7 linked regions of the Rattus norvegicus genome follow. The protein of the gene in region 1 interacts with the protein of each later gene in a pairwise test. Links are inferred from orthologs where the notes say so. Each region holds a gene or a part of one and is shown on either strand. Other genes may lie near its edges. The genes, in order: Meox2, Fkbp6, Csf2, Pak1ip1, Gpatch2l, Sdcbp and Unc45a.

The links.
Region 2: the proteins of Meox2 (region 1) and Fkbp6 interact in binary tests that used the Homo sapiens proteins (3 or more experiments, as listed by UniProt). The two-hybrid records come from large-scale screens. The link is inferred for Rattus norvegicus from reciprocal best matches to the Homo sapiens genes MEOX2 and FKBP6.
Region 3: the proteins of Meox2 (region 1) and Csf2 interact in binary tests that used the Homo sapiens proteins (3 or more experiments, as listed by UniProt). The two-hybrid records come from large-scale screens. The link is inferred for Rattus norvegicus from reciprocal best matches to the Homo sapiens genes MEOX2 and CSF2.
Region 4: the proteins of Meox2 (region 1) and Pak1ip1 interact in a two-hybrid assay, tested with the Homo sapiens proteins (2 studies listed by BioGRID). The two-hybrid records come from large-scale screens. The link is inferred for Rattus norvegicus from reciprocal best matches to the Homo sapiens genes MEOX2 and PAK1IP1.
Region 5: the proteins of Meox2 (region 1) and Gpatch2l interact in binary tests that used the Homo sapiens proteins (3 or more experiments, as listed by UniProt). The two-hybrid records come from large-scale screens. The link is inferred for Rattus norvegicus from reciprocal best matches to the Homo sapiens genes MEOX2 and GPATCH2L.
Region 6: the proteins of Meox2 (region 1) and Sdcbp interact in a two-hybrid assay, tested with the Homo sapiens proteins (2 studies listed by BioGRID and IntAct). The link is inferred for Rattus norvegicus from reciprocal best matches to the Homo sapiens genes MEOX2 and SDCBP.
Region 7: the proteins of Meox2 (region 1) and Unc45a interact in binary tests that used the Homo sapiens proteins (3 or more experiments, as listed by UniProt). The two-hybrid records come from large-scale screens. The link is inferred for Rattus norvegicus from reciprocal best matches to the Homo sapiens genes MEOX2 and UNC45A.

The regions. Positions count from the first base shown.
Region 1 is NC_086024.1:59,582,585-59,586,828, reverse strand, and holds the start of Meox2 (homeobox protein MOX-2), read right to left. Parts: upstream 2,805-4,244; 5' UTR 2,613-2,804; coding exon 2,099-2,612; intron 1-2,098. UniProt on the Homo sapiens protein: Mesodermal transcription factor that plays a key role in somitogenesis and somitogenesis and limb muscle differentiation. Required during limb development for normal appendicular muscle formation and for the normal regulation of myogenic genes.
Region 2 is NC_086030.1:26,966,126-26,969,633, reverse strand, and holds part of Fkbp6 (inactive peptidyl-prolyl cis-trans isomerase FKBP6), read right to left. Parts: intron 3,481-3,508; coding exon 3,371-3,480; intron 1,511-3,370; coding exon 1,420-1,510; 3' UTR 1,418-1,419; intron 221-1,417; exon of another isoform or gene 1-220. UniProt on the Homo sapiens protein: Has an essential role in spermatogenesis. It is required to repress transposable elements and prevent their mobilization, which is essential for the germline integrity.
Region 3 is NC_086028.1:38,887,188-38,891,071, forward strand, and holds Csf2 (granulocyte-macrophage colony-stimulating factor precursor), read right to left. Parts: upstream 2,487-3,884; coding exon 2,337-2,486; intron 2,242-2,336; coding exon 2,191-2,241; intron 1,480-2,190; coding exon 1,354-1,479; intron 619-1,353; coding exon 511-618; 3' UTR 505-510; downstream 1-504. UniProt on the Homo sapiens protein: Cytokine that stimulates the growth and differentiation of hematopoietic precursor cells from various lineages, including granulocytes, macrophages, eosinophils and erythrocytes.
Region 4 is NC_086035.1:23,956,256-23,960,487, reverse strand, and holds the start of Pak1ip1 (p21-activated protein kinase-interacting protein 1), read left to right. Parts: upstream 1-1,432; 5' UTR 1,433-1,491; coding exon 1,492-1,575; intron 1,576-4,232. Other genes in the region: C17h6orf52 (putative uncharacterized protein C6orf52 homolog), read right to left, coding at 1,072-1,364. UniProt on the Homo sapiens protein: Negatively regulates the PAK1 kinase. PAK1 is a member of the PAK kinase family, which has been shown to play a positive role in the regulation of signaling pathways involving MAPK8 and RELA.
Region 5 is NC_086024.1:111,612,965-111,617,230, reverse strand, and holds the start of Gpatch2l (G patch domain-containing protein 2-like), read right to left. Parts: upstream 2,801-4,266; 5' UTR 2,729-2,800; exon of another isoform or gene 695-2,728; 5' UTR 685-694; coding exon 23-684; exon of another isoform or gene 1-22.
Region 6 is NC_086023.1:24,304,491-24,307,998, reverse strand, and holds part of Sdcbp (syntenin-1), read right to left. Parts: exon of another isoform or gene 2,266-3,508; intron 2,146-2,265; exon of another isoform or gene 1,338-2,145; intron 857-1,337; coding exon 695-856; intron 1-694. UniProt on the Homo sapiens protein: Multifunctional adapter protein involved in diverse array of functions including trafficking of transmembrane proteins, neuro and immunomodulation, exosome biogenesis, and tumorigenesis.
Region 7 is NC_086019.1:143,703,101-143,707,094, forward strand, and holds the start of Unc45a (protein unc-45 homolog A), read right to left. Parts: upstream 2,801-3,994; 5' UTR 2,677-2,800; coding exon 2,626-2,676; intron 2,475-2,625; coding exon 2,313-2,474; intron 2,105-2,312; coding exon 2,068-2,104; intron 1,916-2,067; exon of another isoform or gene 1,773-1,915; coding exon 1,597-1,772; intron 1-1,596. Other genes in the region: Shisal3 (protein shisa-like-1a), read right to left, coding at 2,891-3,074, 3,503-3,713, 3,890-3,986.

The sequences.
Region 1 (4,244 bases):
GACATTATCCTTCCTATTGATTATATTTCCCATCTTTGTAACGTATTAATACACTGGGTGGTTGGCACAAATGTTTATTCTCTTTACTTGTTTTGGTGTTTAAACGAGTTTCACCATGCTAAAACAAGCTTGGCGTTGCTGTGTGCTTACTTGCCCCTGGTAAAGGTGATGAAAACCACTGCTAGTCAGTATTAAGACCATTATATTAAATAACGTTGAATTAAGACCGTTATATTAAATAGTAAAACAAATTGGGAAGAGCTTGGCATCTCACTTTCCCTGTTTCCCCACCCAAAAATAACTTGTGCCTGAACAAAAATTCCTTCGTGTGCGCAAATAATCTTTAGGGCATTGGTTCAGCTCAGAAGTAGGTCAGTTTCCCCCTTGCAGAAAGAAAACAGGGAATGGGGCTTCTGGTCCTTCCTGAGGTAACTACCAACCTGCAGAAGCAAATGGAGCATTTGTGCTCATGAAGCCCAATCTGAGGAAACCCAGCGGATTCTAATGCCTTCTTAGGAACCTTCTCAGTGTCTTAGGATTTCACGCACATTCAGCAATAACCGCTAAACAAAATGACAGTGTGGTAACATTCTTAGACATAACTAATCATGATGGAGCATTAAAAGTTCACCCTGGACCTAGAAAATCGCAGGTTCAACGCGGCTGGGAAGGAAGCAGTCAGCCCACACTGGGGTCAAGAAAAGTTTCTATCATCTTTCAACCCCTTACAAAATACACAGCCCTTACTGTCCTACACTGCAAATGCGATTTTTTTTCAATTCTTCAAACTAATGCCTCAAATTGTATGTTCTAACTTTCAAGTCGCTAACACAGAAAATTAAATAAATGCAAACACTGTGCTAGTTAAGTGATGTCTTCCAAAATCTGTATCCAGGTTGCCTTGTAACTACAGGGAAGATTCAATGGAAGAAAGAAAGAACAGAAAGAAAGAAGGGAAAACGGAAAGAGGAAAGATAGGTAGGAAGGAAAGAAGAAAGGAAGAAAGTAAACATCTTTACAATGAGGAATATAGTTAAGGGCTTTGTTGTGCTTCCTGGAAATTTTCAGTTTTACTGGGCTGCCGGGATGTACTGGCTATTGAACTTTCAGGCCCCTGAATTCTTCTGGGAGGCTCCCCTTTTGTTGGGCTGCTCAGGTTACCCACACTTTCTCTGTATCTTCTTCCAGCGCTGTCAGAGCTGTTGTCTGTCAGCTCTCTTCGCTGCACCTCCAAGCAGTACTCAATTGGTGAAGGCTTTTATTTTCCACTCTTGAAATTCAAAAGTTTTGTTTCCTTTAGTTGGCTGATTGATTTTTTTTTGCTTGTTTTGTTTTATCCTATGTTAGCACCACATGAGTGTAATCACTATAAGAATACCCTTTCGTCAAGCCCTTATCTATTTATTCGCAATTTTCAGATGTATTCCTTAAACACTTCTAGATTACTGGATAATGTCTTTTTCGCCAAATGAATAGAATGCTTTTTAAATATCATTTTAAGTAAATGCTATTTAAGGAACTCTGAAAATAAAATGTAAATAAAAAGTTTTGGGTTTCTTTTTCTTTCTTTTTTTTTCTTTTTTCTTTTCTATTTTTGCGTATTTTGTCAAATCCAGTTAAAGTTCAAGATATTGTGCAATAATGTGGAAACCAAGCTAATGATAGGAAAAGTCTAGCTGTTCAGAGTTGGGAATTGGAAAGAAAAAGTCAAAGAGAACCGCATGCACGCACACACAGAGACATGCACGCACGCCCAGAGGATGCAGCATCCCAAAGAGCACACCCCGCCCAACCAGTGGATGGACCGCCACGCTCCTTAACCGATTTCGCATAGTGTCACTTGCTCTTTCTTCAACGCTTCTGGAAAACTGATTTGCGATCTTGGGGGGCTTTGAACGGCTGGATGTAGATATATTAACTTCAGTGAAACACGTGCTCCTGAATTACAGGGCCGACCCTGCATAGATGAATTCGGCCACCAGAGAGAGGAAACGCTAGCTGCTTCTTAGTTTGTCTTTCTACAAGAACCATCCCTACCTCCCCTGCATCTTCCTAGCCCAGAGCGCACTCTCCCCAGGATTGTTTTGCCGACACTCACCTGAACTGTCGCTTTTTCTTTTGCTGCCACTTCTCTTCTCCACTTCTGCGGGTGACAGCGCTTGACGGCCATAATCCCCTGGTGCGCACGCGGCTCCGGTCGGGGTGCTGGAGCCCAGGCTAGAAGAGTTGGAGCACAGGACCGGAGGGCTGCTCCCCAGCTCCGGGGGCCCTCCGGAATCAGGCTGCAGGCAAAGGCTGTGCCGGGCCGCGCTTGGCGGGGAGGACATCTGCGGGAGGTGCCAGTTGCTTTGCAGAGCCTGGTGCTGCTGCTGCTGGTGGTGGTGATGGTGGTGGTGGTGGTGGTGGTGGTGCCCCCTGTGATGCTGGCTGGCAAACATGCCCTCCTCATTGGGGTATCCCGCGATTATGCAAGACGAGGAAGATGTGGAGAGTTCGGGGTAGGACATGTGGTCAGATCTTCCATGGAGGGCCAGAGAAGACTGCGAGAAGGGGTGCAAGCCTTGCGCTGTGGCGTGGGGGCTGCGCAGGCAGCCAAAGAGGGGGTGTTCCATGGCATGCAAGTCTCAGCTTCCAAGCAGAAGACTTCACGAAGGTCCCAAAGTCCACCAAGCGCTGTCACTTTTCACTAGAAATCCTAGGACTCTCCCCCACTCACTCCTAATGTAAAAGCCGCGCGGGTTTGAGCAGAGCCCGCTAATCCCAGTCCTGAGCCGAGCGGCCAGTCTCCTGCACGTATAAACACTAGGACCTGGAGGAGCTTCCCTTGCAGCTGCTCAGATGTCAAGTGTGGGAGAGGTGGAAGCCAAAAGAAGGTGGTCCCAGAGAACTGCTTTCAGGGGGGGAAATGGCTCTGAGAGGTTATAAATAGAGTGTAATGTGAGCTGGGGGCTGGCTTAGGAGCCCAGCGCTGACCACATGCAAACTCCCTCCAAAACTCCCGCTCAGTCAGCGCCACCGTACTCTCTCATTTCCAGTTCCCAATTGCTGGCAGGACAGGAGCGGCTGCCCCACGCCCGTCGGGTCCTGGGAGCTTCCACAACAGTTAGTGGAGCGCCCAGAGCCTCAGTAGCTCAGGGACACCACCGCGATCTATCCCATAGATTCCCGTGGCCAGACACAGAAGCACTCGACTATGCTAAGCCAGCACCCCGTGTCTGTGCTCGCTCACTGTTCTTGGAACCTAGATTTCCCAGCCTTGGTGGGGGTTGCAGTCACCTACAGGCGCTCTCTGACTTTTCAGATCACAGAGAACTTATTAGAGTTCAAGAGAAGGAAAAGAGCGAAGCAGTCTAGCTTTTCAAACTCCAAGACCACTCGCACTTCCCGCATTCAGGGGCACATTATATTTTTCCCTTTTAGGTGTTTTAGGATAGATTGTTAGAAAACCCGCACCAGAGAGGAGGTTGTAGGGCTGAGCACCAAGGATAGCACAGAGCTACTCTGAGTGCGGAATGGAGAGGTAGCCAGTGGGGTGTGCCTTAAGCAGAGATGGATGCAAGTTCTGGTGCCTTGGTGGCACATATTTATGTGCCACTCCAAGTGGTGTCCCCCTTTCTTCTGTTTCTGACCGTGTCCTCCCAGCCCTATGTCTCTTTAACAACCCAGTTTGTTCAATTTCCTCAACACTCGCTCACTGGGAAAGTTTTCTGGGTCAGGAACAACCCTAAGAAACATCAATTGAGCAAGTATAAGTTGCTCCCAGCTTCACCCTTTCTAGTCTAACCCTACAGGAGCCAATTCACACACACACCACCCCGTCCCCCATCCGTTGAGAAATGAAATTTCTTTTTTTAGCTTACAGTGCTCCTCTTTGCATACATTCCGTTCGTTCCTTGCCACCTCTCTGTTTTAAGCAGATAGCAAACTCAACATTTCCTCAGAGTCGACCCTGCTATGATGGTTCATTTCCCCCAGGTTTACAGCCTGGGCTCCTGGAAGTGAACTACGAAACTTGCCCACTGGTGAATTTGTGAGAGCCGGGTTGCGGTTGACACAGCCTTTAGCTTGCTTGACCTGCCACAGAGTCTACTAGAGGTCCTCTCTTTAACCCACAACAAGCTTTGGAGAATGAGCTGCAGGAAAGTGGGTCCTGTCTGTGAAGTGTCTACAAGGAGGATGTCTGCAGTAGCCTACTGTGTTCAGGGCTTGGGCGTGCCACTACGGTTAACTGCCATATGTTTATT
Region 2 (3,508 bases), on another chromosome or scaffold:
CTTATATCTCTACTGAATGTGACAAGAGCCAAATCACAAGAGGTCTTCTGGTTGCAGCTTAGTTCAGAAGTTCCCCTGGAAGACTCAGAGGATGGGATCAAAAAGTCATGCCTGCAAAGGCACTAATAGTGGGCATCTGCCAAGCAGACAGCAGCACTTCAGAACCTGCTAGAGCGCATGGATGAATGGGCCTTTCATGACCCCTCCTCTCAAGCCGTTTCTGCAGACACAAAGGGACAATAAAGGTGGGATTTAGCAGAGAGGCCCGCTCAGCAGCTGCTTCCTTCCTCTTCCTTATCTAACTTCTCAGCAGAGTGGGGCTCTCACCCTCCTCAGACAGGTGTTTGAGGCAGGTGAATTGGTTCCCATTAATTTTCTTAAGTAAGAGCAGAGCAGACTGAAAGGTCCTCTTGGGCTGTAGGGACACTCTTCCCTGTGCTTGCTCACCCACAAGATACTGTTGGGAAAGCCAAGATTTTGCGGGCAAATGTGAGGTCGCGGTGTTCAACCCTCAGCGCACACACACATGCACAAACAGCAGGCTGAGCATGTAGGGTGGTGAGCAGAGTGCCTGCCTCCTGGGCACACAGGCCCGGGGCTCCATACCCAGTACTGCCTTCATCAGACTGATTGCACACGTCTCTGAGTTTAGTATTCAGTTGGAAGAGTCTGGAGGATCAGAAGTCCAAGGTCTAAAGAAAGGACTGAAGGAACTCAAGGGGTTTGCAGCCCCATAGGAAGAACAACAATATCAACCAACCAGACTCCACCAGAGCTCCCAGGGACTAAACCACCAACTAATGAGTACACATGGAGGGACCCATGACTCCAACCACTTATGTGGCAGAGGATGGCCTTGTCCAGGATCAATTGGAAGAGAAGGCCTGGTCCTGTGAAGGCTCGTTTCCCTAGGGTAGGGTAAAGCCAAGGCGTTGAGGTTGGAGTGGGTGGGAGTGGGAGCACCCTCATAGAAGCAGGGGGAAGGGGTATGGGAGAGGGGGGGAAGGGGATAACAAAACAAAAACAGAAATTCAAGGTCATTCTAAGCTACACAGTGAATCCCAGGCCAGCCTAGGCTACATGAAATTCATAACAAAGACACTCAATTTTTCTCTCAAGCCCAGCTAAAGTGTCACACTAACAATTTCAGTTCCAAGAAACTTTGAGGAAGAATTTAATTTCACAAACCACGAAAAAGTTTTTTGAATGGGAGAGCATGGGACCTCCCAAACACGAATATAACCTCCAAGTGTTCCTCCTTCAGTGACCCGCTCTGTGGGAAGCCCCCATGGTGTATTCTGTCCTGTGCTTTCCTCAGTAGAGAAAGCCACTGGTCACTGAGCCGGGCTGAGGAGGACCATCTTCCCCAATGGATAGAACCCTGAATCTTTTCATGAATGCCCAGCCCTCTGGGTACCTTCAGTTTCCTCCCACTGAAGAGCCGCTTCCACAGGGAGCAAACATCCGGTGACACATCTCTCTCTCTCTGTCCACATAGTCCCTGTAGTGGCTGTGGAAAGAAAGGCAACTTTGTACGTTTGCAGGAGGTGACATCTGCTGGCTGGAACTCTCTGGTTACAGCCACTAAATGGCCAGCACTGGCTATCAGTCAATGACAACACTGTGGGGACAGATGCCAGGACAGAGGGGGCTAAGGCCACTGATAAAGGTCCTAGATACAAGGCCATCATTTGGAAAGACAGTGCTGGGAAGGCAAAAGCCAGTGTGAGTGGGCTCGGGCACAGCCCTGCTAAGTGTCCCATGTTCCCGGTGCTGTCAAACTCATTCCGAGCTCTTTCCTCCTAAACAAGGATCAGACTGCCCCACAGCCCGGCATCTAACCTGAGGACACTTCCCATACCAGGAAGGAAGCCCCTGGGAACCCAAAAAGGCCAGCAGGAAAGAGGCTGCACTCAACTGGAAACGACACACACTTCAGCAGTGGTGAGAGAATGCTTACCCTTACTTAAGGAGAGAAACTCACCAAGGCAGGAAAAGACACGTTAAAAATGGTGGCTAGTCGGGAGCTTATGGGAAGATGTTTTCAGGTTCTCTACAACAAACACAGCTTCTCTAAACAGAAAGGGTGACTTTTTTTTTATAAAGCTTTTCTTTTTCTTTTTTATAATTGCGTTTATTAATGTCTGTGTTGGGGGAGAAGTGTCCGTGAAGTCAGAGAACAGCTTGTAGAAGTCAGTTTCTCCTTCTCTCATATGGGTCCTCAGAAAGAACACTCAGGCCTAAGACCTGGCAACACAAGACTTCTCCATTGAACTACCTTAGTGATCACTTCTAAAAGATTAATGTCTTCCTCACTTGAATGAGTCACAAAGAATCAATTCATTTGTGGTTCTAGAAAGATTCCTCAGGAACAAGGGGTCTCAGGTAATTTTGAGAACAGGTAGAGTCTTAAGTACAGCTTTACAATAAATTTTGATTTTAGAGGCAAGGTGCAGCCCTAGCTGTCCTAGAACTCACTCTGTAGACAAGGGGAGCTTTGACCTCAGAGGTTCACCTGCCTTTGCCTCCTGAGTGTTGAATATTCAGACTTACTTTGTTGTGGGGAATCTAAAATAGGTTTCTTGTACATTTATTTATCCTGTACGTGTATACATGCCTGGAGGTCAGAGGACAATTTGGAGGCCAGTTTCTCCTTCTACTATGTGGGTCCTAGGGATCAGAATGGTATGCACTCTTGGCTCACCAACCTTTAGGTTTTTGAACCTAGAAGGGAGGAGATACCTTACTTAGACCCTAGAAGGTCTGGCATTTGTGGTCTTCCTGCCTCAGTACCCGAGGTGCTAGGACTACTAGAGTGGCTCACCACACATGGTTTGCACGAGACCTTATAAGGTACATGGGGACTAGAGGCATAGCTCAGTTAGGAAAGGGGGGACCCAAGTTCAGATCCTCAGCACCATGCAAGAACCAGGCCCAGTAGGTGGAATGTGTCTGTAATTCCAGCATGGGGTGGGGTGGGGAATGGGGTACCAGTGGACAGAGACAGGAGGACCTACAGACTGGCCAGGAGCCTGGTCTAACTGCTGCACTCCAGGCACACATTCAAGGTTGTTTTCTGGCCTACATGCACGCACTTGCAAATATACACAAAGAGTTGCCTGGGCTGGCTTCTGTAGGGAGAGATCTGCTGGTCTTCAGGTGCCACCAGAGGAAGGAGGGAGATGCTCAGAAGTGAGGCTTCCTCACACAGAACAGCCTGCTCAAGGCAATGAGTGATGGACTGGGCAGGTGAGATGGCCGCTCTGAGCCAGTCTGGGGCAACATTCCTAGCCTGTCTGCCGTCCAGTTGGTTGGGTGAACTGCAATTCTCACAGCCATGTCTCACTGTGCCTCTGGTCACACCTCTCACCTGGACAGCTTCTTCAGCTCATTATTGATGTCATGGTTACAGGGCTGCTCCTTCTGAGCTCTCACTAGAAAGTCCCGAGCCTGCTCATACTCGGTCAGGAGGAGGCAAGCCTGTGAAGAAAGGACAAGACATTAGGGG
Region 3 (3,884 bases), on another chromosome or scaffold:
GAGCAGAAGCTCTTGCTCACCCCAGAAGGTCCGCCAAGGCATGTGAGACCCCACACCCAGGCCAATGCTGGACCCAGGCCTTGATCTCACCTCCCTTTGGTCATGACAGCATTGATCAATACCCCAACCCAATAGACCCCCCCCAACTCCATCTATGCCCCTCTTAAAAATAAACCAGATAGCTGTACAAACAAAAGTTTTAATAGTTTATTATTCTTGTAAGACATCCTCAATAAATAGTTACAAAATTAAATAAATAAATAAATAAATAGTTGTTTTAAAAATATAAATATATAAATAAATATTACTTTTCCCTATCAGTAGAAAATATCTCTCCTTTGTCTTCCGCTGTCCTGTCGGAGTCCGTGGTTTCAGAGGGCTATACTGCCCCCCACTGTGGCTGTGTTCCCATCTTGGTCCCTTTAAGGCAGAAATCCTGAATTCCTGGCTCATTACGCAGGCACAAAAGTGCAATCTGAGAAAGTGGATCCAGAGCTGGCCTGGGCCTCCTCATTTCTGGACCGGCTTCCAGCAGTCAAAAGGGATATCAAACAGAAAGCCTTTAAGGTTCTTTATGAAATCCTCAAAGGTGGTGACTTCTATTTCACAGTCAGTTTCCTGAAGGGGATGGGGAAAAAAAAAAAACAGCACTTGAGTCCAGGTGAGTGGTGACTTGGGGAAGTAGCCTGTGTATTTCTCTGTTGCTGCTATGAACTCAGAGGCCAGAAGCCCATTCGAAAGGATCAGATGACGCTATAGCTGCCCATGTGCTGCCTAAGGCAATGGTATCCAGAGACTGTTCCCTAACAGGAGGACTGTCTCAGGTCTTCAGATTGGTTGGACAGACTCTGCTGAGAGGCAAGCGGCCAGCCTAAGGCATCTCCTCAGCTCTAAGGTCACAGGGTTCACTGTCTTCGATGAGGAAAGAAAATAGGAATGTTTGGGGTGTCTGCCCATTCTTGGAGCCTCCTCCCTGTGTCCGTGGAATACAGGCACCTCCACAGGAAAGTCCTGCCAGGAAGTGGCACCTGGGTGCTGGCTCTTGGCTCTTCAGGGCTTGGGCAGGCCCTGAGCTTCCTTGGGTTTGCCTCACCTCTGACCTCATGACTGATAATGGCATGTATGGCATGGGCAGGTAGCTCCTCCTGGGGAGAGCAGTGGGCTCTCTGCTGTTCCTCAGCTTAGCATCTGGGGATGAGTAGGAGCTATGGCCTGTTCTTGAGGGGCTCCTGTGATACATCTAACAACATGGAAGCCACTTACTGGGACCCTGAACAGCTACAGTCAGAAATCTCTCCTTACTGGCCCCGCCCTCCCAGACTGAGACCTTGGGCCCTGACGTTGTGTACTCACCGGGGTTGGAGGGCAGTTCGTCTGGTAGTGGCTGGCTATCATGGTCAAGGCGCCATTGAGTTTGGTGAGGTTGCCCCGTAGACCCTGCTTGTATAGCTTCAGGCGGGTCTGCACACATGTCGGCCTCTGTGAAAAGCATCCATTTGTTGGTAAGCAAAGGCCGAGCACCCACCGAATACAAGCTATATTCTCCCCACTCCCTTCTATTCCCACCAAGTGGCACAGGCTGGGGCTAGTCATAACACTGTCCTGACCGCTGCCCTTCTCCCAGCCTGGCCCAGGCCACCCTCAGCCAGCACAGCCACGTTTATAGCCTGGTACCTCAAGAGGTTCCCAGTTCCAAGACTCCCCCACCCCGACCCCCCAATTCTGTAAGAGAAAGGTGCTTGCTGTAGGAGAAGGGGGTGGCCAGAGCGGAGGATATCCCCCAAACCTCTGTGTGGGCAAGCATTGTTTCAGAAGGCCCTCTGTGCCCCTCTATGGTCAACACCCTCTTTCCATGGTCATAGGGCGCAGTGGGAACCCCAAGGCAACAAGGTCAACTCATAAAGTAACTCTCACGTTCCCATAAACCCTGAAGATCTCCGACCTTTGAAAGCTAGCTCTGCCCAAACTTATTGCTCACTTGATAAAAGAGTGCACATGACTGCCACAGGGGCATGGCTGTGGACGATAAAAGAGTGCACCTGACTGCTGCAGAGGATTGGGTATGGAGATCTTGACTACCCAGACTCTGCACCCTCCCCATAGCAGCCACTGACAGGGAAGAGTGTAGAAAGCCATGCAAAGGGCTATTTAAAGCAGCCTGTGAAGCTACACAGAAGAGAAGCAGCTTACCTGGATGGAGAACTCATTAGAGATGATGTCTACGTCTTCGTTCTTTTCGTTCTGTAAAAGGGAAGTGCTGTGTTACCAAGCTGACAGGCAGGAAAAGACAAGAGCCAACTGGTGGCCTGAGAACAGCCCAACTCTCCCTCACTCACCTCCAGAGCACGCATGTCATTTAGGAGGCTCAGAGCTTCTTTGATGGCATCTACATGCTTCCAGGGCCGGGTGACAGGGTTGGGCGAGCGGGTGGGTGCTGAGAAACTGTAGACCACAATGCCCAGGAAAAGTAAATTCTGCAGCCACATCCTCCTCAGGACCTTAGCCTTTCTCTCTGAGTACTGGGCTCACTGCAAAAGAGCTCTTATATACACAGTTAGAGGAAATGATTAATGGTGACCACAGAACTCCAGGGGGGCGGGGGAACTACCTGAGTTGTGGAATCTCCTGGCCCTTATCAGCTATACATGGGGCCGGTGAGCCTTCCCCCAGGTTGTCAGGCTTGGGGGGTTTTCATTAATAAGTCCTTCCAAGAACTGGCAGCCCACCTGTGGGTTTCTTTAAGGGCCTCTCCCACCCTGCCTGGGCAGTCTAACCAAGCCTCCGGCTAGCCTCTCCTTTTTGAGGGGCCTCCAGGCATATTTGGACTTCCTGGCCTGGAGTGGCTGGGGCGGGGTTTGGGAGATACTGAGTGGGGCTCTTGCTTCCACAGCACCTGCTGTTCCTGGAGGCCTTTGGGCAAGCTGTACCCACTCCAATGGCTCATTCCAGCCCCAGCCCTAGCCCGTTCTCTTTCCAGCCTTCTTCAGAGATGTGTACTCCCCACATGTCCGTCTCATTATCTAATTAGACAAGGTCCAGCCCAATGGCACAATTCTATAATGGCCTCCACAGACTCCCACTGAGGAAACAGAGCCATGGGCAAACAGCCCAGCCAAGCCCCACCCCCTGCCACCTCGGGAGAAGTAGGAATGGCAGCAATGGGTATGGAAGCCAGGCAGACTACACCATGTTCTCTTATGGTACCATCCCAACTGACTGCTACAATCCCAGTTACAAATCCCATTTACAAAGGCATGTTCGATCTTAAAAGCTCATAGCATGGCTAGAGCTTCTGACTGGGGCAGGTAAGGCAACCCCAGTTTAACTGCTGATTCTGCAGGACCCCCCTTGCCAAGTGACTCTTCCTTTGAGCTATGCGAGCCTCTTTACCCTCTCCAGAGCAGCCTACCATCCAAAGAGGACATATTACTGCTATCTGTACCACTAGTGGGCACCTGGGGTCTCTGAGGCTAGCTGTAACACAGTAGCTGGCTGGTACCAAGCACAGGGCCCCCCAACTTCTCTAGCAAGTTCTCCCAGGCTTAGTTTACTGCACAGCCTCTTGCTCCAGCCCACCTCCCGCTCCAGAAGCGCTCTGGAATCAGGAACTGCTTTTGGAAAAGCTGTGTGCTCTCAAGGAGCTAACAAGTGTTTGATTTTCACAAGGGCTTTTGGAGAAGACGGCACGAGTTTGTGTTTGCACAAGGGATCCGGCCCAAGCCTTCCTGTACAGGAAGTTTGAGGCCATGGGGATACATATGTGTATCTCTTTAGTCACGTGTGTATGCTGGTGATGTTGGATATATGTGTACTCACAGGAACATGCCAGGGTGGAGGGGGTTTTACCTAAGGGTGCATCTAACGTGAGCCACACTTACTTTTAT
Region 4 (4,232 bases), on another chromosome or scaffold:
GAAAATAAAGCACAGGACTCTGAAACAGTTTTACTCATCCCCATTTTTTGGAAATGATACTATTGCATTAAAAATTGAGTATGAGCGCCCTGGGTTTGGTCCCCAGCTCCGAAAAAAAAAACTGAGTATGAGCTAACGTAAACTGTATCACACCACGGGTAGGACAATAATCAGACCTCTTTGTTCCAAGCTAAGGAGACATATTCCAACTTTAGTAATTCTCTGGAGAAAATAATTAACTAACATGCTCAGGGTTACTAGCAGTAACTGTACACAAATTAATTAATACAAGGGTTTCCACTGGACTGGGGGCTTGCAAGTGGAATAGCCCAAACTAGAAGAACACCGCCCTTCCCATAATTGAAAAATCTTCAGAACATCCAAAGTGAAATTATTTCCCTCAGACTCGAACAAAACCGGCCGTCAGAGAACAAGTGTTTGAGAATAAAGTCTCAGTAAGTACTTAAGGACTCCATTAACTCGACACATACCTGTGTCAAGATCTGACATAATCACCCGCTATGACGTATGCACTTTTGACATCCTCAGAAAACTCATCCCTGACCCTTCCTAAAATGTATGGAAACCTCGAAGTTAAAAAAAAAAAAAGATGTTGCTTTCATTAACTTTTGCACTTTGCCCCTTAATATAGGTGACGTACACTAGAGGAAATGCGAGTCTTCCATTTCGAACCCTACTGTCCTCCTCTCTGAAGACAATCTTTTTCCCCCGTGGCTCAGAGCGTGTCCTAACGCGGGCCAGTTTGATTAGATCGGAGAAGCCAGCAGGCAAGAAGGGCTGAGGAGATGGACCGCTTGGCCTGCGGGCGGGACACGGACTGGCAGGATCGGGCTCTCAGTCCAGCGAGGGGACACTGCCAGCTCTGGTTCCAGCGAGCCCTGATCGTCCCCGGGCCGACCCGACAGAGAAGCCCCTAATCTGCTCTCTACACTAAAAGGAAACCCTTCGCTTGTGACCCAAGCCATGGGGTGGCTGCAGGCGCTGACCTGGGCGACGAAGCGAGAGACCGCCTCTTAATAGTAAGAAAATTACAATCGAAGGAAACCTAACTCTAGACTCCTAATCCGCTGCCACACTCCAGGAACTACGAAGGGAGTTTCAACAACCGCAACCTCCGAGGCCGGAAGTGGATCCGCCCCTTCCTTAGGCGCACCGGAAATTGGTGCTTGAGCGGAGTCTGTCCCGCCCACTCCCCAAGGCTGGCGGAGCTCACGGCTTCCATGGATTTGCCTGCTTGCTACAACTTTTTTCTCTGCTCTGCAATCCTCCTCCTGCGGCTTCATTCCTCCAGCTTGTCGTAGAAGGGCCACGTGACATTCGAGAGCGTACTCCGTTATTGCCATCTGCAGGCGCCTAAAAGGTGCCCCCTGATGGATGACGTATAATTTGCGCGCCGACTTCCGAAAGGCGGTCCTCCGCTTCCATTGGGTTCCCACGCCGGCTTCTCCGGCAAGGCACGTGTGCTGCTGAATGGAGCTGGTCGCTGGCAGCTACGAGCAGGTCCTCTTTGGGTTTACAGTGCACCGCGGGCCCGCGAAGAGTGGCCACCGGGAGGTGAGGCACCGCGAGTCCGGGGCTGCGGGGGACCGGCGGGCTGATTCCTCCCCGCCAGAACCGTGGCGTCTGTCGTTTATTGCTGGGTCCCCGTGGAGGACTTGTTGGAAAACGGACAGGTTTATGCAGATAATCCTAGCTCTGGAGAGGCTGAGACAGAAGGATAGTGAGCTCAGAGCTTGGGTAGAAGGATCCTGCTCTTTATAGAGTAGAGGCTTTTCAGAATGAGATAATATTCACTTGTTAAAGTAGATAAAATGTCCACAGAAGGAAACGAAAAATGTTCATGTCGATGGGGGGAGTAGATGAATGGTTGACAGAGGAGGTTGGGGCCAACTTACAGAAATGAAGTTTGGTGGGAGGACTGTTTTGGGGTGTTTTGTGTTTTTGCCTTGAAAGGTAACTATAGTCGACAGCAATTAATCGTATATTTTAAAGTAGTTACTGGAGAGTATTTTGAACTCAAAGACATAGTTCATCGTTGAGGGCATAGGTTGTCTTTTTCATACCTGATCTATGTGTGCATTGAAATCCCATTGTGCTCCATAAATATATACAGTTATATGGTAATTAAAAAGAAAAAAACTTAAAGTATTCTCAAGGCATGAAAAACTGGCAATTTTATAACATACATGAAAAATAAGGTGTGCATTTAAACTGACAATTACTATAGTTCTTCAAGTTCTAATGTAAAAATACCTTTACCTTTCACTGAGTTTCAATCCTGGTTAACAAACTTCAATAGAGCTGGTGAGATGGCTCAGCGGTTTAAGCGCTGGCTGTTCTTCCAGATCTGGTTTAATTTCCAGTCACCTACAGTGGCAGCTCACAACTGTAACCAACGGATCTGATACCCTCATACAGACATCTATACAGTCAAAACACCAATTACATAAAATAAAAGTTACATATAAAAGAAGTATTCCAACTGGATTGGGAGGAAGAAAGTGATGCAGACTTACTATTTACTGTGGGCAGGGGGAAATGTGCCAGAGCTGTGGATCCTGCTCTTGTAGCCTTCTTGGTCGAAGGAATGGCGAGCAAAAGAAATACAGGGAGGTAAAATGTAGCACAGTAAGAAATGTATTTTTGTCAGGTATGAAAATAAGATACAGTAAATTGCCAACATAATAGTCAAATAGAAAACAGGATTAGAAGTGTCACCTAGCAGGGCCCCACCCTTAATCCCAGCACTTAAACCCGGCAGAGGCAGGGGGATCTCCAGGCAAGGATGGTTTACACAGGGAAATTCTGTCTCAAAAACAAAACAAAACAAAACAACTCAAAAAACAAAAAATACCCAAACAAGCAAAAAAGAAAAAACAAATGTGATCCCTTAATACTCTAATGATTATTTCTTGAACAGTTGTACTTATCACCTACAAATCTTTTGTTGAGAATTCTTTTTTTTTTGTTGTTGTTGTTGTTGAGCTGGGGACCGAATCCAGGGCCTTGCGCTTCCTAGGCAAGCGCTCTACCACTGAGCTAAATCCCCAACCCTGAGAATTCTTTAGTGTGTGTTGTGGGTTTCTTGTTGTTGTTCTTGTTCTTGTTAAGTATACTCATTCCAGAAGTACAGCAACCCTGAGACTGATACAGCCATTCTCATCTTATAGATGAACAGTTGGGAGGTTTATAGGGCAAGAGACACTCAAAGCCCATGGTTTATGAATACAACATGTCAAGGTCCTCCAGATGTTTCCCAGGCTTATGTTGTTAACAATTCGGGGTGCTGCTTCTAAACCTAGCCAGTAACCAAGATAACCAATATTATTTATGTAATTTGAACAAACACATGATGTCTTGATATAAAGCTGTACCATGATTGAGTCAGGTGGCTCATGTCTGTAATCAGGAGGCTGAGGCTGGAGGATTCAGAGTTTAAATTTAAGCCAGCTGTCGTGGTACCTGTCTTTAATCCTAGCACTTGGGAGGACAGCCATAGCTACAATATGAGACCCTGGAGAGGGCACATGGGGGGACAAAAGGAAGCCTGCTGTTCCTGAGGAATGAATGGACTACCTGCTCTGTAGTTCTTTAGGACATGATATGTAGTGACTGACTTTAAGCATATGTAAAGAACTTTGCTGGTTTTGCTTTTTGGGTGGGGTTTTTTTTTTTTTCCTTCCCTGGTTTGTTTGGCTAATAAATTTTCCCATGGAGCTCCTTTAATTTGAAGAGCACTGCATTTGTGTGTGCCTTCTTCTGTTCTTTGCACTCATCCAGTCATGGTTCTCAGACCAGAAGTATATAGTAACAAGCATCTGGTCCCCAAGACAAATTACTAGCAGTTCTCTAGGGCTCGTGGTAGTTCTTCTACACACACACACACACTATATATATATAATCCTGTTGTTTTCCTTAAGGGCTTATCATGGTTATCTCTGTATCTTCACATTAACGTGTTTTCTATCTCTTTTCTTAAAGTGAAAGTATTATTTGAACACAGACTTCTCTGTTTATTGTTTTTTCTACTACCCATAGTGGTATCGAGCATATATAATAGAATAGTTACATAGACATAGAGAAAGTGGGCAGTTATTGGAATTAATCTACATAAAAATTGAACATTTGAATAAATTACTGACATGGACGTCTATGGGATCTACGTTACTGGGATCTGGAAGCATGTTCCTGAGTTCATCTCTCCTTACACT
Region 5 (4,266 bases), about 52 Mb from region 1:
GCTTTACGGAGGGAGAGCTCACCTTTCGGACATGTTCTCGTCGGAGCCGTGTTTCTGTCCCTCTGCTTCGCACTCCATCCTTTCTTTCCTTCCTGTTTTGCTTAGGAAAGTCCGACTTTCTGCTGATTCACACAGCCCATGGCCAGATGAGGTCCAGGGAGTATTCTCCTTCCATCGGGATAAACGCTGCTTCTTGGCAGACTTGAACCTGCAGCCTCTCTCATAGCTCCAATCTGACACTTTCAGCTTCTGCTGAAGGCTGGCAGCCACCTCGGATGCCACTCTCTTCACCTTCCGCCGGCGCCTGAGGGGTCGACAAGGCGCATTTTCCGTAAAGGAGTCAGATTCATGCCAAGAGTGCTGCTTACCCCTAACGATGGCACTGAGAGCTGGGTGCCGTTTGGCCACCACTGTGTCATCAGAGTCACTGAAGTTGGTGAGCGGAGCCACTTCTCGACAGTCCTTGGTGGCCTCATCCAGACTTGACTCAGAGGCCTCGCTGAAGCAGCAGGCGTGCTCAGCCAGGTGAGTAAAGTCGGAACGGCGCTTCCGGCCTCGGCGCTTCCGAAGCTGCCGCCTCTGCTGTCTGGGGCTCAGGGCCATCTCCTCCCACAGCTCACCAAGCTTACTCTGCTCAGATGTCTGCTCCAAGGCTGAGGCTAAGTCATGCACCAGCTCATCCATGAGGCCACATCTGCCAAATAAAAGCAGAAGAGATGCTTTAAAAGACCTGCTGCTTTTCCAGAAAGCTTATAAAGCACATAATGCTATTGGGCTCCCTGGCTGGCTACAGAAAATAGACTTCTTTCATCAGCTACCGTTTCTACCATCCACGTACCACAAAAAGCAGGTGTCTGGCCATTGGCGAGTACTGGAAATCAACATATCCAGTAGCTTGCCAGATGACAACTAGGACATTAGCAAAAATAAACAAATTGAGCTTCCTCCTTTCTCCAATTAAGTGATCCCTTGATTGCCTAATCACTGGAGAAGAAAAGCAAACCACACAACTTCATCATTACGGTAGAGCCAAGAGAGCACCAGGCATGAACCAATCACGATAGAGGGTCACACTGAGGTCTGGGATTTCTGCTAAAAAGGTTGCGGTAGGGAGGAGAGAAAGAGCTGAGTGGCACCTATGAAGAAGACTTCACGATATTCATAGTCCCAGAACTTTCGGTGACCCAAGTAGGTACTCAGAATGGGGGAAAAAAAAGGAAGCCCACGTCTGGTACTACCATGGTACCAACTGCCACCTGAAAGTTATTAGAAACAAACTGCTGTGGAGTATGACACTGATTTGATGTTGCTAGCATTGTTGTATTGTTGTTGTTATATTAGTAGTAGCAGGAGCAGCAGTGTAGGACTTTTAGACCCCTCATCCTGGTGGTGGCAGCAGTAGTAGTAATAGAAACACTAACAGTACTAGTAGTATAGTGTTGAGTCACCCCAATTATGTGCTTAGTGCCAATCACACAAAATCTGGGACATAAATGAAACCAAAATGGAGGGACAGCATAAAATCTCTAAGATACCTGGCTAACAGAAGCAACCCTTTCCAGGCATGCCTAGCAGAGGCAATTTTCAAATTTTCGGTTTTCAAAAAGAAATGTCTAATATCATCTGCACAACACCTAAATTTTGTATGCTAAAATAGCACTTTCTTTCCAGCTCTTGGTAAGCTCAAAATACATCTTGCCCATAATTGGAGCTTAAAGCTGAACTCAGACCGTATTTCCCTTCATGCAATTTACTTTTTGCAAGGGGCTTTCTAAAAATTAATCTCACAGGGTCCCTATGTCAACAAATTCAAAAGCAGGAAAAGTCTTCTGGATTATGTGTCACACTTGTGAGAGCAATAGAGCCACCTTGCTCCAAAACCACCACGGCAACTTCCTCAAAGGGTCAAAAGCCTTACACATAAAAGACCATTTCCCTTTAGCAACCGGTAGTAGTTTAAAATGCCAGGACTGCGGTTTGGAAGACAACTGTCCCTAAGCCCGAAGCTGATAAACAAGTGGGAACAACACGCCTAAGTCTCTAATAAAGAATTACAGCTTTGAAACTCAGGCAGAACTGCACAAACTTTAACGTGGGACAAGTATACTAAACAACGTGTCATCAGAAGCTGACATAGAATTCTTCCGCGTCTCAAAGGTACCCTGGTACACCCACACCTCCAGCCTCACTCTCAAGAGTACACCCTGGAGACCCTGGTCTGAGTCACAGGACGCTGGTGGGCCGCAAAGCAGCGAGCTACTCTCCCAGTCAGAGTAACGAGAGGTGGGGTAGACAGAAGTCAACTTCTTATTTGAGTTCACCTGAGACTGGAGGTCAGCTGTCTAGGGCAGAAACTGTCTCAAATCTTGTCCTAATGACTGCATTCCCTCTGTTGATGCTGGGGAGAGAGGTATCACAGCACCACCACGGATATGAAAAAAAGCCGCGTTTTGAAGGACTCTCTTCCATTTCCAGCCCGTCCTCGGGGGCTAGGGAAACCCTTGCCCGGGACACCAAGCCTGAGTTCTCGCTGTCGCCCATCTAAGGGACATTCCCACGGAGGCGGCCGTCCCTCAGAGCCCAGGCTGAGAAGACGCACCTAGGGTAGCCAGGCCCCGCCACCCTCTGTCACTCGCCACAGCCCAGCGGCGCCGTCGGTCGCCCTGACGCAACCCGGAGCCCTTATCCCGCCCGGCATTGGCCCAGCCGCCGCCATCCTGCTCCTCACCGGCTGCCGCAGTCGCTTGCACCCGGCGCCGCCTTCGGGGCCGTAGCTCCCAGCCTGGGTTTCCCTCTCTGACCTCATTTCCGGTCTGGGCCTAAGAGGTGGGGCTGAAATGGTAAGGGAGGGGGCGGGCTACAAGAAAGGACAGGCGCCCGCCCTGCACTTCCGCCCTACGGTGCGCCTACTTCCGCTCCACGGTGGGCGGGGCCTCTGGGAAACTAGGAAGTAGTGCCTGGAGGCAAGTCAGGACAGATGGGCTAGTATGGGGTGAGGATACCCTTAGGACTGAATGAGACAAAACCTCTCCCTAAGGGTGCTGACCTTAAGAAGTGGGTCGTCTGCCTTCACATTAAGTTACTCATGACATTAAAAGTGTACATGGCTTGAGCAAAAAGCAAATCATACTGTATTATAACTCAAAGCATTAAAGAAATATTAACTCCATATTGAGTGGTTATTGATATTCCATATTCTGTAAGTGGAAAAGAGATACATTTCCCGTAGAAATACATTTCCTGTAGAAGACATAGGCTCTCTTGGAGCATTTTGAACTGTGCACAGCAGCTTCTCTCTGAATAATGCAATATCAAAGGGGTCACTTTATACTGGAGAAGCTAGCTAGCCTGGTCTAAAGAGTTTGTTCCAGGACAACCAGGACTACACAGAGAAACCCTGTCTCGAAAAAGCAAACGAAAGAAATTACACCACGTATGGTTAAGAACTAGCCTACAGAACACTTCACCAGTATTCCTCAAAACTGTTAAGGGCATTGTATATGTCACACACAGAATGTATGGAATGTCTTTCTATATTGAGGGAGTTCCTTGTTCATTAAGTTCATTAAGAAAATGAATCCATTAGATAGGGCTGCAGGCAAGTCTGTAGGACATTTCTTAATTAGTGATTGGTGGGGGAGGGCCCAGCCCATTGTAGATGCTGCCATCTCTGGGCTGGTGGTCCTGGGTTCTGTAAGAAAGCAAGCTAAACAAGCCATGAGGAGCAAGCCTGTAAGTAGCATCACTCCACGGCCTCTGCACCAGCTCCTGCCTCCATGTTCCTGCTCTATTTGAGTTCCTATCCTGATTTCTGCTAATGATGAACAATTCTGTGAAAGTATAAACCAAATAAACCCTTTCCTCCCCAGCTTGGTTTGTGTTGGGTTCAGGAATCGCCACTCAAAACAAACACTGGTTTCAGTTAAGCAATACTGGATGTTCAGGCCCCAAAAAAGGACTGTGGTATCAGAGTCAGAACTAAGTTCAAAAGTTTAAAAAGCAAGGAGAGGAGCAGTTGGCTTACTAAGTACTGCATTATCAGATAACCTTTAAGCTGACTGGTTCTGAGCAAGATAAGGGGAGGTGGATGGGTGGAATTTCACAACACTGTGATAACAGAGCATAAGTATGATAATCATAACTTTTGGCTTATTAGTAGCATTTTTTTAGTGTCAGTCACAAAAACCATAGTGAACTCAATCACAGGTGCAGGAAGGGCTGCCTGATGGTCAGCTCTGACTCAGGCTGCATTAGACATAACAGTTC
Region 6 (3,508 bases), on another chromosome or scaffold:
TGCCAAGCAGTAAACTAGAACGGTGCTAAGGCACCTCTGCTGAACTATACCACACTTGAGCTTCAGTGAGGCCAGGGCTTTACGAGCACAATGACGGATCTGAAGCATGGACAGAGGGCTACACACAATCATGCCCTCAGCCTTTTGAGTGGAAAGGTAGTGTTCGTCTTTCCTGCCTACATCAGCCTCATTCAGTTGAATACTGTGATACGCTTATTTTCTATGTGGAAAGATGGACTCACTGAAGCTAAGGAACAGTTAGACTGCAACAGAATCCAGGAGGATAATGGTTCAAATTTTATGAACAGAAATAACAAACTTGCAGAACCACCTCATAAGTAATTATCACTTAGTTTAAAAATGTGCACCCAATTCTCACTGGTCCACTCTTCCTTTACTCTCACATATGCTGCCCTATGTGAAGCCCAGAATTCTATCACACGCATGCTTTCATATGATTATATAAACCCAGTGACAGCACTCGTCTCAGTAAAGAAATTCAGAAGAAAACTGTGGGATCTGCTTGCAAGTGCCAGCACGGCTTCTTTAAGCGGGTGTCCCACGTAAAAACTCTAGATACATAATATTCCCATTGTAGATGGGTGGTTATGACTAGCCAAACTGTTTTCATTTCAATGTTTGACATTAATATTCTGAGACCTATTTAGATAAATTCAAAAATATAAATACTTACATTATCTACTGACTTCAGTCTGAGCCCAATTTTTCCATCTTGATCCTTACACAAAATGACTTCCCGAATCCCTTGCTTAATCTCTGCTCTCCTAATCCCCGCATCGTTACCTGTCACAGGTGCTACCATGTAGTTCACACTGGATGGCCTTGCTACCAACTGCTAAGAAAATACAAAATTTGACAGTATTTAGAAACACAGCAACTAACTGAAACACATTCAGTTATAGTTCTTACAACTATCGCTCATTAATAACTTCCCTCAGGAGTTCTTACAAATATCGCTCATTAATAACTTTCCTCAGGTCGAGTCTGCTCCCACAATAATGACAGTGCTTTTATCTCCTCATTCTTTTGGTAATTTACTCCCCCATAACCTTGGGAAGATAAGACTCAGTGACTTGTCAGCTGGCACCCCTGCGTTCGGGGTCAGCATATACTTCGGAAGTGCCTCTGCCAGAGACCACATAAGTGACAACAGCTGTCTCAAACGTCTGCATTGCCCAACGAGGTCATGCGGCCTCAGCCTGGGTAAGTGTACTTAGATGAAGCTGGTGCGCCCCTGAGAGCAATGCATGAGTCATTTCTCAGAAGACACTCTGTGGCTGACAGCAGCACTGGGGATTGCCTTTATTTCAAACATATTTTCCTAGAACTTAAACGTCACACTAGACTTTTGCAACATTAATTTTCCAAGATTTTCTGTGGTGTAATCATAAAATTACCAATTTATAAATAAGTTCAATGTGAACAAGGCCTTAAGCCAGGAATGATATAAGGAGACAACATAAAAACATGTTAAACTACTCTTGACAAAATCTCCATCTGTACACAAACAGGATTAGGAAAACCAAGGCGCCAAGAGCAGGGCAGTGGACTGTGGCTGATCTTATATGGAAGGTACGTCAGCTTCAGAGGGACTGCAAAGCCACAGCTAAGATCTGCGGAACACAAACAACTAGGAGAAAACGCAAGCTCGATCTCCGACACGGATCTTAGCAGTGCCTTTTTTAATCTTCACACTAGAGGCATAAGCAGAAGTGCAGAAGCGGAGCTACAGCAAAACCAGAGTCTTCACAGCTGGAGTGGGGCAGGACGGTGCACACCCAGAGGTAGGTGGATCAGGTTTGAGGCCAGCCTCAAGACCTATCTCAAAACAAACAAAAAAGCTCTTCACAACCAGCCCTTCACAACCAAAGAAGCATTCACCAAACTGAGAGCCCACAGAATGGGAGAAGTGACTGGAAAATCATCATGCAGTAAGGGGCAAATATCCCAAGGAATAATTAACTCAAAACTCAACAGCGGAAAAAGCAAACTCAAGAATGGGCAAAATGCCTACATACAACCTTTTCCCAAAGATAACAAACGGGTGTGACAGATCATTTATCGTTAAAAAAGTCAAAGCCAGAACAATGACATCACCACCTCATGTGTCAGTGACATCACCACCTCATGTGTCAGTGACATCACCACCTCATGTGTCAGTGACATCACCACCTCATGTGTCAGTGACATCACCACCTCATGTGTCAGTGACATCACCACCTCATGTGTCAGTGACATCACCACCTCATGTGACAGTGACATCACCACCTCATGTGTCAGTGACATCACCACCTCATGTGACAGTGACATCACCACCTCATGTGTCAGTGACATCACCACCTCATGTGTCAGTGACATCACCACCTCATGTGACAGTGACATCACCACCTCATGTGTCAGTGACATCACCACCTCATGTGACAGTGACATCACCACCTCATGTGTCAGTGACCTCACCACCTCATGTGTCAGTGACATCACCACCTTATGTGACAGTGACATCACCACCTCATGTGTCAGTGACATCACCACCTCATGTGTCAGTGTGCTGGGAACAAGCAAAAGAACCTAACTAAGTCCCACCACTTCGTTTTCAGACTCCAGTTAATCCTAGGGAGAAACTACATTTAAGGTCCCAGCCCTAGGGGAGCTGGGGACTTTTCCTGAGCTGAGCAGCTTCTACTATAAGGAAACAGCTGAATGAGTCCAGCCATCTAAGGACAACACTCCATCTTGCTAGCAGCGTCAAACTATGTTCATGTTCCCAGACCCAGGAACTTCCTCCAATTGGTGAAAACTCCCTTGCTCAACCCCTTATGTGGAAATATAATTGGACAATAGTACAACCCACCCCACTACCCTTGCTTTATGGTTTCATCCTTTATGTCATAGAGCATCCTTTCAGGGTCATAGTTCAGCCCGTAAGTCTATTTGACGAGTAGTGGCTTGATTATAATAACTTTTGTCATCTGCATTAACCTGGTGTTTGTCACATTGGATCCATGTTGGATTCAAGCAGACCCCACAGCAAATATTACCTATCAAAAAGACAGAAGTGCTCGTAAACTCCTGTGTACTGTCAGACAGTGAACATATCTGGAATAACCATTATGAAATAGTAACAAGGAGCCTCATGTGAAAAACGCATGTGCCATACAGTCAGACAATCTCCCTTGCAGGTATATACCAAAAGGGAAATAAAATCCCTCCATGCCAATGACACCCGCCTTCCCGTGTTCACTGCAGCATTCATCACTGTGGTCAAAGCTGAGAAACACTAGTGTCTGTCAACAGAGGACTAAATAAAGAAAGTGTTGTCTGTAAATGCACAATGGCTTATTACTAAAGCCATAAAAACATTGGCATTGGAACAGTAAGATTGACCCTGGAAGACATTATACTAGAGGAAATATGTCAGAGACAAAAAGCTAGTACAGTGTGATCTTATGTAAACTCTCTCTATACAGTCTCAGCAGGAGGAAGCAGA
Region 7 (3,994 bases), on another chromosome or scaffold:
ATTCTTCTAATATTACCATTTTCATAAACACAACACACACATACAAACACTCATTCTCTTTTTTCTTGTTTTTTAAAATACAGCCCAGGCTGGTCTTGAACCATTTTAATAAACACACACACACACACACACACACACACACACACACTTTTCTTTTTTTTTAAATGTAGCCCAGGCTGGTCTTGAACTCACAAAGATCTGTCTGCTTCTGCTCCTGAGTGCTGTGATTAAAGGTATGCACCACCCACCAGGTTTGGCCTTTAGTGGACAGTTTGTTGTTGGTTTTTTTTCACAACAGGGTTTCTCTGTGAAACAGTCCTGGCTGCCCTAGAATGCACTTTGTAAATCAGGCTGGTCTCAAATTCACAGACATCTGCCTTTCTCTGCCTCTGGGATATTAAAGGTGTGTACCACCCCACTGGCCTGGTGTACATTTTTAACAGGCCTTTATTTTTATTGTTTGTTTTTTTAAGTCAGAGTCTCACTATGTAGCTCTGGCTGTCCTGGAACTCATTCTGTAGACCAGGCTGGCCTTTAACCCAGAGGTCTGCTTGCCTCTGCCTCCCAAGTGCTGGGATTAAAGGTGTGCACCACCGCCCGGCTTTTATTGTAAAATGTTAGTATTTTTCATCGGACTTACACAGATGCACCCAAATGTTCCCAGACATGACATATTATTTGGGTCCTTAAGTCAGCGACAGAGTGCGTTCCTATATGTAATACCACATATCTTGCTTTTCCGTTTACCAATCAGCAGAGCCCTGTCTGGTCACACACGATCATTTCTCAGAAACAGCACTGACCTAGTCTGTTTAGTTTTGTTCTCTCCTTGCTGAGTATACAGGCAAGTCCCAAGTCTCTCTTACTATAAACAAAACTGAAATAAAAGTCAGACATCTGGGGGTTGGGGATTTGGCTCAGTGGTAGAGCACTTGCCTAGGAAGCGCAAGGCCCTGGGTTCGGTCCCCAGCTCCGAAGGAAAAAAAAAAAAAAAAGTCAGACATCTGAAACTCCAACACTTGGGAGGTGTAGGTAGGAAGTTAAGGCCATCCACAGCCATGCAGCAAGTCCAGGACTAGCCTAGGTTGCGTGAAACCCTGTCTAAAAAAAGTAAAAATAAAAATGTTTTTGGAAGCAAGAGAATCAGGGGTTCGAGGCCAGCTTTGGCCACGTAGTGAGTCTAAGGCTAACTAGATCATCACCTGTTTCTTTACAGCTTTGATATGCTAATGTACTTCGGCCTTATGGAGCCAAATCAATTCCTACTTTCCCCAGGTACTGTAAGAGCCCACACACCCACATCCACACCACCTACCTGCCTCATTCTTTGCCAAGTACAAACGTATACATACACCGAAGAACCACACTTCAAGCATTATTATTATTATTTTTTTGGTTCTTTTTTTCGGAGCTGGGGACCGAACCCAGGGCCTTGCGCTTCCTAGGTAAGTGCTCTACCACTGAGCTAAATCCCCAGCCCCCACTTCAAGCATTATTAATGTGTGTTTGTTACCAGTAGCTCCCGTCTGGAGCACTGTGTCTATATCCTTGACCCAGACCCAGGAAGTCCCCAACTTCTCTTGGCTCTTCACATACCTTCTCCTGAATCTGGCCCCCAATGTTCCTCAGGGACTCCTGGAAAACTTTGTTCTTGGGTTCTAGGCTCACACATCTCTTCAGGTCAAGGACAGCCTGGTCCAGGCGGCCCAGCTTCTCTAGGGCTTGGCTTCGTCGATAAAGTGCTTTGACATCCCCACCGTCCTTTTCAATGGCTGAGCACAAACAGGAGCTCTATCAGCACCCATGAGGCCACCGTCTCCAGGCAAGAGCAGTAAGGATAGATCTTGAGGGCCAAAGGAAGATAGGGGTACGAATGTGGAGCTCTGTGCTTCAGCCTCAGAAAAGGTGAGGGCAGCTGCAGAAAAGGAAAGGCCGAAGAAGTGGGAAAGCAAGTAGAAAGACGAGTGTCTGGGACCAAAGGAGGAGAAAGGGATGGCTCGGTGGTCCCAGAGTCCTTGCCCACCACAGAAAACCCATTGCTCCGTACGAGGGCCCACACCCCCCTACCTTTAGATGCCTCTGATTCTGCTTTGCTGTAATCTTCCTGTAAGAAAGATCAGGAGCCTGAGAGGAACTAATCGAGTGGCAACGACACCCCTGTTTTACTGAGCCACCTGATCCCTCACCACCCATGCCTAAAGACCACTGGCAATTGTGGGTGGCTAGAAAATGCCCAGCTGCTGCGCACAGCAGCGGCTATGGACAATCCCAGGCACAGGTAGAACCAGGTTAGAGCAACCCGACCCCCTCACCAGCTTGAGGTGGCAAGCAGCCCGGTTTCGGTGCAAAATAGCCTGGTCCTGGGGTGTCGCGCCAAGACTCAGGGCCTGGGTGTAGGCGGTCAAGGCGCCCTCGTAATCCCCGCATTTGAACAGCTCGTTGCCCTCCTTCCGCAGCTCCTCGGCTGAGCTGGCCTATGGAGAGAAAGACGGTGAGCAGAGCAGCGCGGTTGGAAGAGGAGCCGGGTCCGGGCAGAGTCCCATATAGGGCTAGAAAGAAGTGACGGAGTCCAGGTACGAAGGCGCATGTGCGAAGGGGAGATGTCGCAGGAGAATCAGTACGCACCCCGGGGTCGGAAGGTCGGGGCTCGGGGGTCCCCGGACCACTCACAGTCATCACGAAGCTGAGCTCCAAGAGCCGGTGCAGGCACAGTCACTGGAGCTAAGGTAGCCCTGGGCTCCGGAAGATGCCGGTGACTGCCCCGCCCCAGCAATGCGTCAGGGTTACGCCAAAGAAGGCGAGGCCAAGAAGAGGTTGCAAGGGCAGGGTACTCGGCCGCGTTGCGCAGGCGCGGGCGCAGGCGCACGGTCAAGGATGCTTCCCGAGCGTCTTAGTCTGTTCCCACTGGGACCTGTAGGGGGCGCGCGGCAGAGGCCCGAAAGGAAAGGCGGCGGCCGCGGGAGTTTTGCCTTTCTCTCCGTCCCGGACCACGGCAGAAGTGCACGAAATCTGCAGTCATCAATGCCATCAACAGTAGACTGTAGATGCCCAGTGCTAAGAGCGGGCCTGGGCCTCTAGGGAGAGAGGAGAGAATCAAAATTGTACACTGGCTGCACTGTACAAGTCAGGGTTTACAGAGCCAAGAGTCCCGAGAAAGCGCGGGATAAATATAGACTATGTGCGCATATTTTGCAAACAAATTTGGGAGCTCGCAATACCTTGAAGACGAACACGGCTAGATTCAGAATTAAACCCCCTACTACAATGTGTCCATGGACTACAAGATCCTCTTTATTAACACCGTCCAAACCCCTTAGGACATAAAGCAGCTTCCGTTACTTCGTTTTCAATTTTTACAGTATTGTTTGTAATTATGATTTAGGTGACTTCCTCTCCACTAGTCTGGAAGCTACAAGTCTCCCAACGCAGAATTCAAGGACAGAGCCCAAAACACTGAAGCGCCCTGTCAGTGTTCTGTGAATCTGGGGGCTAGAGTTCTTACCTGAGGATGGGTGGGGGCTGAAGAGTAGACAAGTTTACTTGGTACAGGGCCTCAAATTCATCCAGGGTACAGCAGGAACCCCCAGCAGCCTGCAGGTGGCAACAGTAGGCTTCCTCGGGAGTATCAGAGAGGCGAGGACAGAAAAAACCAGGGTAGTGGCGGCCTTCGGCATCCCGTGTAGTCTGACACAAATGGGGGTGGTGAGCCAGTGCTGGAGAGAAGCAAGACGTCTATAGAGAAGGGAGGTTACCCACATCCCTGGCACCCTGTTCAAAGTGCAAAATGGGGTCCAAGTCCCTAACAGAAGAGAAGAGGAGGCTCTCTCCACCCACCACTGGCAGCTCTCCCAATTCCCCAAATCACCCTCAGAGGATAGGGAAAGTATACCTGAGAGGTCGGTTGGCTGAGCGAGGTTCATCCAACTGAAAAGCAGTCCCACACACAGGCCTGTCAGCAGAAGCCCTGGATTCCTCTGGAGGCCCATGAGAAGTC